Linked DNA regions of Daphnia pulex. The protein of the gene in region 2 interacts with the protein of the main gene of each other region in a pairwise test. Links are inferred from orthologs where the notes say so. Each region holds a gene or a part of one and is shown on either strand. Other genes may lie near its edges. The genes, in order: exocyst complex component 7-like and vacuolar protein sorting-associated protein 51 homolog.

Region 1 (3,928 bases), on a different chromosome or scaffold from region 2:
ATAAAGTCCTAGTAAAGCTTTGTTTCTCTGAGGTTTCGGCCAGGGTTGAGTGTGTACCAATGCGTTGGAATAACTTTGATCTTGGGCGAGAAGCGGACCGACTGTGTCAGACAAATCAGTCAACTGGCCGAGAAAAAGAACGACATTGCTCGTCATTTCATAGACCGTGCCATCTCTAGGCAATGGAGCTGCAGATTCAGAACGCACAGATTCTGCAAAGTCTTCAAGGGCCTTGCCGCACTAATCAATCACAAAATAACACAGTGATAAAAACGAATCTAAATTATGGTGAGTTATTAGCTTACGGTTGTATGGAGATTATTAACCATTGCGTAAAATCGTGTGCGAACAGAAGAATCGCATCCTTCCAGCAATTTATCACAGTCGCCTTTAAAACACACTAAATGGCGTAAGGCAGGAAAAAGAAGCAAAACGGGACCGAACTCTTGACGAGAAACACTTCGGCGCGCTCGGCCGCTTAAGCTCTAAAAATTAGTAAAGTACAAGAATGACTAACCGATGAAATTGAATCAAGAATATTTCCAACCTCGGCATCGTGACAGATCATTTCCAATGCGTCTCTGAGAATGATAGACAGAACAGCTTTTTGATGCGGCAAAGGGACAATACCCAACATAAGTCTCAGTTCACTCTGCAGTAGTCGCAAAAGTGCCGTGAATTCGGTTAAGAACGATTCGATTTCGTGTTCTTCGACAGCATCTTCTTTTATACTGTCTGAAGAAGAAACAATAATGATAATTGGGAAAAAGTAAAATAAATTTAATTTCGTCTTCTCACCCGCAGCGCTTCTCCTGGGGCCCAAAGCCAGTCCTGTAGAGCTTTCCAACGTTTGAGAAGCTTTCAAAAGCATTTGGTTGGCCTTGCGCTCAAGCATTTGCTGTAGTTTCTTAGATGTCTTTCTACTTGGAGTGTCATAACTGGCTTTGACACCTGATTTTGCCTGAAAATTATAAAAGAAGTTCATTATATATTGCCTAATAGTAGTCACAATAAATATTAGATTACCAGCAATGTAGCCGTTCCCGACATGGCAGCTACGGGACTCACGCCTTGGTGACTCGATACCCCAGTAGATGAACTTCTCAAATGATCACGAAGGCCAAGAAGGGTTTTCTGCACAGTATTTGCGCGAAACCGAGCGTAAACCTGGAAAGTAAATCAGTGACAAAGTTTATTTAATATGTCGTGGATTAATGATTGATGATTACAAGTTACATTCATGAAGTCATCTTCATTGTGAGTTACAAGCCAATCAGCTATTTGCATCAAATTGTCTTTCACATCTGCAGAGAAGTGATTTATACTTATCTCCTCTGGAATGAAAATGGAACATTACATTGAATTTTCAGGTAGTTATAGATAAATGGGGTTCACCTTCATCATTTGCTAGAGCTTCCAAAAGTGCTGTAGCAGGAATGGTTTGACTATGTTTTGCTAGGTGTTCTTTAAATTCGCTGATAATATTATCTTTGCCAGTTTCAAATAGGCTCATCTAATACAAAAGTTGTTTTTTAAGTTTGTAAGGTATGGTGATTGTAAATAAAAATGAAACTTACAACATTTTCTAACTCCACACTCTGTGGATTATTTCTCTCAAAGAAATGCATAGCTTCTTGCAATCGACCGAGGGATTGGAGAAAAATTTCTAGACCCTGACTTGAAGGGCTCTCTTTTATGACAGGCTCAACTTCCTTGCTGACACTGTAATAGCTAATGACATGATCCAAAGAGGCTAATGTTTTATCAATGTCTATAAACACGAAGAAAGTTAAAAAGAAATTTAGATTTTGTAAATTTAGAAATACAAGAAATATTGATATTATATGAGATCTCATTAATAATTTACTTTCTTGTTTCTGTTGCAAATTTTTTGTCTCATTGTAGACTGGTAAAATGGTCTTTTCAAGTCTCGCAAGCCTTTCATCAAATGAAGTCAAAATATTGACCATTCCATTAGTAAGCTGAGAACTTCTAGAAGCAGCATCTTGAAGAAAGACTAGTCCTGTCAGCACCTTTACCAATCATTAATTAAACCCATTATTTGTTTGATACAATATGTCAATATAACCAGTCATATATGTGAGTATCCAGTCACAGCAAAGAAATTTGAATTTTGTAACAAGAAATTGAGTTTAATATTCAAACCTTTAAAATTAGTATTTAAAACAAATAAAATCAAATGATATAAAGAAGAACTAAGTAGGCCTATATAAAACAAAAAAGTAACCTTTTCATGTTTATGATTAAAATCTGACATTTTGCTGAATTTCTGTCAGTTGTTTCGTTTCTCGCCATCTACCGGCTAGAAAAAAACGGTCTTTTATTTCGGTAGGGTAGACGGTAGGTAAATAGGTAATTAACAAAAAAAAGTAAATTCCTCGATTGGTGCGTCAAGTTGAAGTTGGACAAAGAAAAAAATCTAAAAAAGACGTCGCCGTCTATTATGGAAGAAAATATTCAACGTTGAGTCCATTATAATCGCAAGCACATGGGAGCAATCCGAGCCCCACTAAAATGTGGCTAATGACGAAATACGGCTCATAAAGAAAAAAAGCGCTCAGATATACCAGTTTGTTTTGGTAAAAGGTAATCTGAGGTAAAATGGAAATCTGATTTTACTAAGTTCTAAATGGGTTCTTGTTTTCACGGAAGTTGTGTCGTAGAAAAATGGGAAAACTCCAAAACGGTGGTGACTCGTGAACTATTTTGCCGTCACCCTTTCGATGACCCGCAGTTCTACGTTTTTTTGAAGCGACTTTAAATTATTTTAATAACCTTTTTACGATTTTGTTGTTTTTCCTGCAACATTCTTTTTTTTTAAGATCGCTTGAATAGCCCTCTATTGAGATCGATTATGAACCAACCTGGCCACCTGTTGAAAATAGTCAACACTAACCTTGAAAAAAGAATAAATTTTGAAGCCAGCCCAGCACCAAGAAATGTCAAATACACAAATGTCAATGTCAAATGTCAACGTGAGAAACTCGTGCATGGTTGTAATTCAATTACGTAACTGCTTTGTCTAAATTCCAAGCCAACTTATTAGCTTGACCCCGTAAGTGTATGAGTAGTCCTCCTTGGGTAAAGAATCAAGAATGAAGTACACACTTCCCTTAATGTGTGTTTTCCTCTTATTAATAAATTGTCAAATGGTTTTATCAATACTACCAATTGTGATCTGGCACGGATTAGGTAATCACATTTAAGGTTTCTACTTCATTCACAATTTCATGATAAATTTTGAAATGGGTATGTAGGTGATGTTTGCTGCAATCCATTGAGTATTGGGGGCCTACAAAAATTTATACAACAACAAATTCCTGAGGTCTATGTAATTTCGCTGAAGATTGGCAAGACCATTCGTGAGGTATTAATTCAGTATAGCTCAATTAAAAATTTACACCAACAATTCCAATATTATGTAGGATTTTGAAAATGCATACATCAAGAATGCAAACGATCAAGTTGAATTTGTGTGTGATCTGATCAAAAATGACCCTAAATTAGCATTAGGATATCATGGATTAGGGGTATCTCAAGGGGGGCAGTTCTTGTAATTATATCTTTATTGTTGAATAGTTAAGATTATCTTTGAATCATTTTAATTTTCTGCTTATTATAGGAGAGCTGTAGCTCAACGTTGCCCTGATCCTCCGATGGTAAATCTAGTCACTTTAGGCTCTCAACACCAAGGTGTATATGGGTTACCCCGTTGTCTAGGAGATGATGTCAAATTTTGTGACTATGTTCGCTCGCTACTTAATCATGGAGCTTACAAAAAGTTTGTCTACTTGAGACCTATACATTTACAAAAATAATTTTAACAGAACTAATTTTATCAAGATGGATTCAAAATTTTGTTACTCCTGCTGAATATTGGCATGATCCACTAGATGAAAAGGCATAC
Region 2 (3,928 bases):
TAAATGTTGAATTTTAACGGGTATAAAATGACACAGAACCTTACGATAATACCGTTAGAGCAACAAAAGCACGATGAATGTGTTCCACGAGAGCCCCTTCAATAAATTTGACCGAACCGTGTGGCTGATTATCGTTATTCCAGGAATCACGCCAGCCTTGTAGTTCACTTGTCCATTTGATAACAAGAGCGTCGGCTGTTCGATGTGAAATTATTCGAGCAATTTCAGTAATGAGAGTGAAGCTCCATTGCTTATCCACCAGTAATAGTCGCTGAACGGCCAATAGACGACGATGAAATTTATCCAAAGCCGCAACTACTGACAAACAGCAGGCTTCACTTATCTCGAATCCGATGATTTCGACAATTTTACTTTCCACTACAGGGACGAAAAGGAAATTTTATGACATGAGCTAATTTCTAGGGTGAAATATATAGCTCCTTACCTATTGGGCAAAGTTGATTAATAACATCCGTGGCCATGCTATTCATCCCCCTGTTAATTCAACGTATTATGATGAAAACGCAAAAAATTTAAACCATAAAATCAATAAAAAGTAAAACATACTCATTATGTTTCGATATGGTTGAAGGGAAAATGTTGTTGAAGGTTGCAATGGTAAGAGCAACGTTATTCAATGCTGTATTGCAGCATTTTTCAATGAATATGAGGACCACTTCTCCATTATTTTCACCAGACCACACATATGAGGATAGATCTTCCAAATCTTTTTCTAACCTCACTTTATTGATTTCAAGAAATTCTCTTGCAAGGTCAGTGGAAGATTCACCTAGTTTGCATAAAAGAGATGCAGATTCTTCTAGTTCCTGGGAAGTTACCTATGAATTCCATGAACATGTCATGTAAAATTCCACAATAGACATTTTGGTTAGTTTCTTATTATCTTACTTTCCAACATAATATTTTTTTTACAGCTTACCTCAGCTCTGCTGAATTGCACCTTTAGGCATTTCCTGAGTGTTTCAACAATTTCTTTGCAATCTGATTGGATTCCACTAAAAGAAGGATGATCTCCAAAATCTTGAAGAACTTGCTCAGATTTTGCATAATACTTAACAGCCTAAACAAGAAACATTATAGTTTAATACAGGAAATATAGACAGATAATGTCAATGAAACAAACCAATGAATAATTCTTTTCTTCTACACATGTTTTCAGCTTGTTGGGAAGATCAAACAAAAATTGCAAATTTTTTAGCAGTTCGTGAATGTTTGAAAGCTTTGTTATTTGTTGGCGCCGATCCTAAAAAGACAGGGTCATTATTATTAAAAATTTAATCAACTCTAAACTCAAATATTTCACCAACCTGTAAATTTGAAGATATATTGTTGGCAAATGTTGCAATATGAGACATGTCTTGAACTAACTTCTCCATTTCATCTTCCATAGTTTTGAAATCACTTTTCATTTGGCGGATGGTATCAGTGGCAAGGATAAATTTATTATAATTTTCATAAACCAAAGTTTGCATTTCTGAATCAAGTGATTGAATTTCACGAACAAGTTCCTGTTCTTTATCTATAAGTTGCTTTAAGCTGGTTTCCTATTGAAAAACATCCAAGCACATAAAAGTTTTATTTTATTATTTGGCAAAATAAGAAATAGAATATGATTACCTGAACCAGTTTGTCAACATAGGCATCAGCATTAAAGTGCTTTCCATCCACGTCAAAAAGGTTTTCTACATCCTTTTCTTCTGTTATCCCATAGTATTGAGAAAGAAGATTGTTTCTTTTTCTTTTATCGTTTTCATTTAGTTCTTTACTCATTTTGACGTTTTTCATTGGCACTGTTCACCAACTGATTAGTGATTACACATACCGCACATACATTTCTTTAGTTGTAACCACAGACTAAGAGGGTAAAGACCACGAACGGCTATAAACCCCTTGAAGCGATGCTCGTCCTATGCCGTATGGTGGCGCGTCGAGCACACAAAACGAAAGCCATTATTTTTCCTCTTTCCCTACTGATTAGAGTCTTCACACACCGTAAGTTTATAATTGAACCATTAACATATCAATAGTGATGTTTTGTGTAAATATAGCTTAGATATCTCCCATGTTGTGGGAATTTTTTTAAATTTCTATGTGATGTCTAGATACAATCCATAAATTCCTTTATTAAACCCCCTTTTTGCCCATTTTCAGGCCCAGGAAACAGCGTTTCAAGATTTTCTGAAATGGGCCTGAAAATCGTGAAACGCTGTTTCCTGGGCCTGAAAATGGGCAAAAAGGGGGTTTAATAAAGGAATTTATAGATTGTATCTAGACATCACATAGAAATTTAAAAAAATTCCCACAACATGGGAGATATCTAAGCTATATTTACACAAAACATCACTATTGATATGTTAATGGTTTAATTATAAACTTACGGTGTGTGAAGACTCTAATCAGTAGGGAAAGAGGAAAAATAATGGCTTTCGTTTTGTGTGCTCGACGCGCCACCATACGGCATAGGACGAGCATCGCTTCAAGCATCCCTCTTTAGCCCTATCCCTGATCGTAGTCTTTACCCTCTTAGTCTGTGGTTGTAACTGCAAATCGAATGGTTGGGGATTGGATAGCGTTAATGTAAGTTTTTGACGTTTCGCGAGCTGATGTCAGAATGTCTTAACGCTTCAAGTCTCAAACCGCCAACCCAAGGCATAAAAATAACAGGTAAGAAATTATGACAGGCCGGCTTGCTTTAGGTTTTGGATATGCAGTCTGCAGAGAGCTGCTGGCTGATTAGCTCATTACATTACACAATAATACCACCACACTAACAGCTGACCCCACCTTATCTGCTGCCCTCTATGTACTGATACTAAACTCAAAATATTTTCATATCAGCCAATAAAAATGAAAGACCCAGACTGTAGCAGACATCGCTACAGATATCAGATTATGCTAGCGTGAGCAAGAACGAGCGGTGTTTACTTTCTTCCGTTCGGTCATTCGATCGTTTTATTAAATCATTCGTCAGACATTTTTTTTTGTGTATTTTCAAGATGCTTGCATTTTGACTTCTATAGCCACATGTCAATGCGTACGTTTAATTCTGGTGAGTCATATATAAATCATGGAAATCAACTTTTGGAAGCTTTTGGCTTTTGAATTAACTTAAAAATTTGGAAACGTTATATTATTAGGAACGACGTCAGTCATCAAATAGTCTACACAACTACAAAACGCTAAACAATGGCTTCGCAAGGAAAAATAACATCACTGAGTGGTTAGTATGAGACGCTGTTTAAATTTTTTTATAGAAAAAAGTTGGTTTATCTTCAGCAATAATTAACCTAGCTTGAATAAATTGGTGGAACCCGTTTTGCAACTAATGGGTTATATATATATAATATAAGTAATTTCCTGCAAAATTTCTACAGATTCCAGTTCAGATGATGATAGTTACAGACCTCCTTTGAAAAAACCAAACACACAGTATTATAATAATACAGGAGAAGTTAACTCAAGAAAGAAACTAAATGACATTGAAACATGTGAACGTAGCACTGTCATTGTTAGCCCATCCAAAAGTAATGCTGATGGAGGATATGGGTTTAATGCACCATCCAGTAGTCAAGATTCTGATTCTAGTGATGATGATCAGCCTATCATGCCTTCTGTACATAAAACACTCATCAAACCTAAATCTGCTGCTGCTCCAGTCATAAATCATAAAGCCACAGCAATGATGGTCAGTTTAATATTCTTACAGTGCATACTATGTGGCTGCTAATAGATTTCTGAACTACTTAAAGGCTAAAATGGGTTGGGCTAAAGGAACTGGACTTGGTAAGAAATCCCAAGGTATGACACAGCCCATCGAAGTCTCTAAACAACGCGGAAGAAGAGGATTGGGTTTGCAGATAAAAGGATTGGAAGCTGAAGATGTTGAATGGGACTCAAGTAGAGAGGT

The links.
Region 1: the proteins of vacuolar protein sorting-associated protein 51 homolog (region 2) and exocyst complex component 7-like interact in a two-hybrid assay, tested with the Drosophila melanogaster proteins (2 studies listed by BioGRID). The link is inferred for Daphnia pulex from reciprocal best matches to the Drosophila melanogaster genes Vps51 and Exo70.

Annotation. Positions count from the first base shown.
Region 1 is NC_060020.1:3,980,646-3,984,573, forward strand, and holds the start of exocyst complex component 7-like, read right to left. Parts: upstream 2,381-3,928; 5' UTR 2,279-2,380; coding exon 2,249-2,278; intron 2,113-2,248; exon of another isoform or gene 2,090-2,112; intron 2,034-2,089; coding exon 1,868-2,033; intron 1,772-1,867; coding exon 1,578-1,771; intron 1,514-1,577; coding exon 1,396-1,513; intron 1,335-1,395; coding exon 1,237-1,334; intron 1,168-1,236; coding exon 1,027-1,167; intron 962-1,026; coding exon 799-961; intron 736-798; coding exon 548-735; intron 486-547; coding exon 306-485; intron 241-305; coding exon 1-240. Other genes in the region: palmitoyl-protein thioesterase 1-like, read left to right, coding at 3,117-3,213, 3,279-3,388, 3,447-3,574, 3,644-3,802, 3,865-3,928. UniProt on the Drosophila melanogaster protein: Required for exocytosis. Thought to function in intracellular vesicle targeting and docking before SNARE complex formation.
Region 2 is NC_060021.1:636,388-640,315, forward strand, and holds the start of vacuolar protein sorting-associated protein 51 homolog, read right to left. Parts: upstream 2,760-3,928; 5' UTR 2,563-2,759; intron 1,870-2,562; 5' UTR 1,807-1,869; coding exon 1,639-1,806; intron 1,566-1,638; coding exon 1,329-1,565; intron 1,265-1,328; coding exon 1,145-1,264; intron 1,082-1,144; coding exon 941-1,081; intron 840-940; coding exon 568-839; intron 496-567; coding exon 446-495; intron 379-445; coding exon 53-378; intron 1-52. Other genes in the region: cap-specific mRNA (nucleoside-2'-O-)-methyltransferase 1-like, read left to right, coding at 3,208-3,241, 3,396-3,706, 3,771-3,926. UniProt on the Drosophila melanogaster protein: May act as a component of the GARP complex that is involved in retrograde transport from early and late endosomes to the trans-Golgi network (TGN).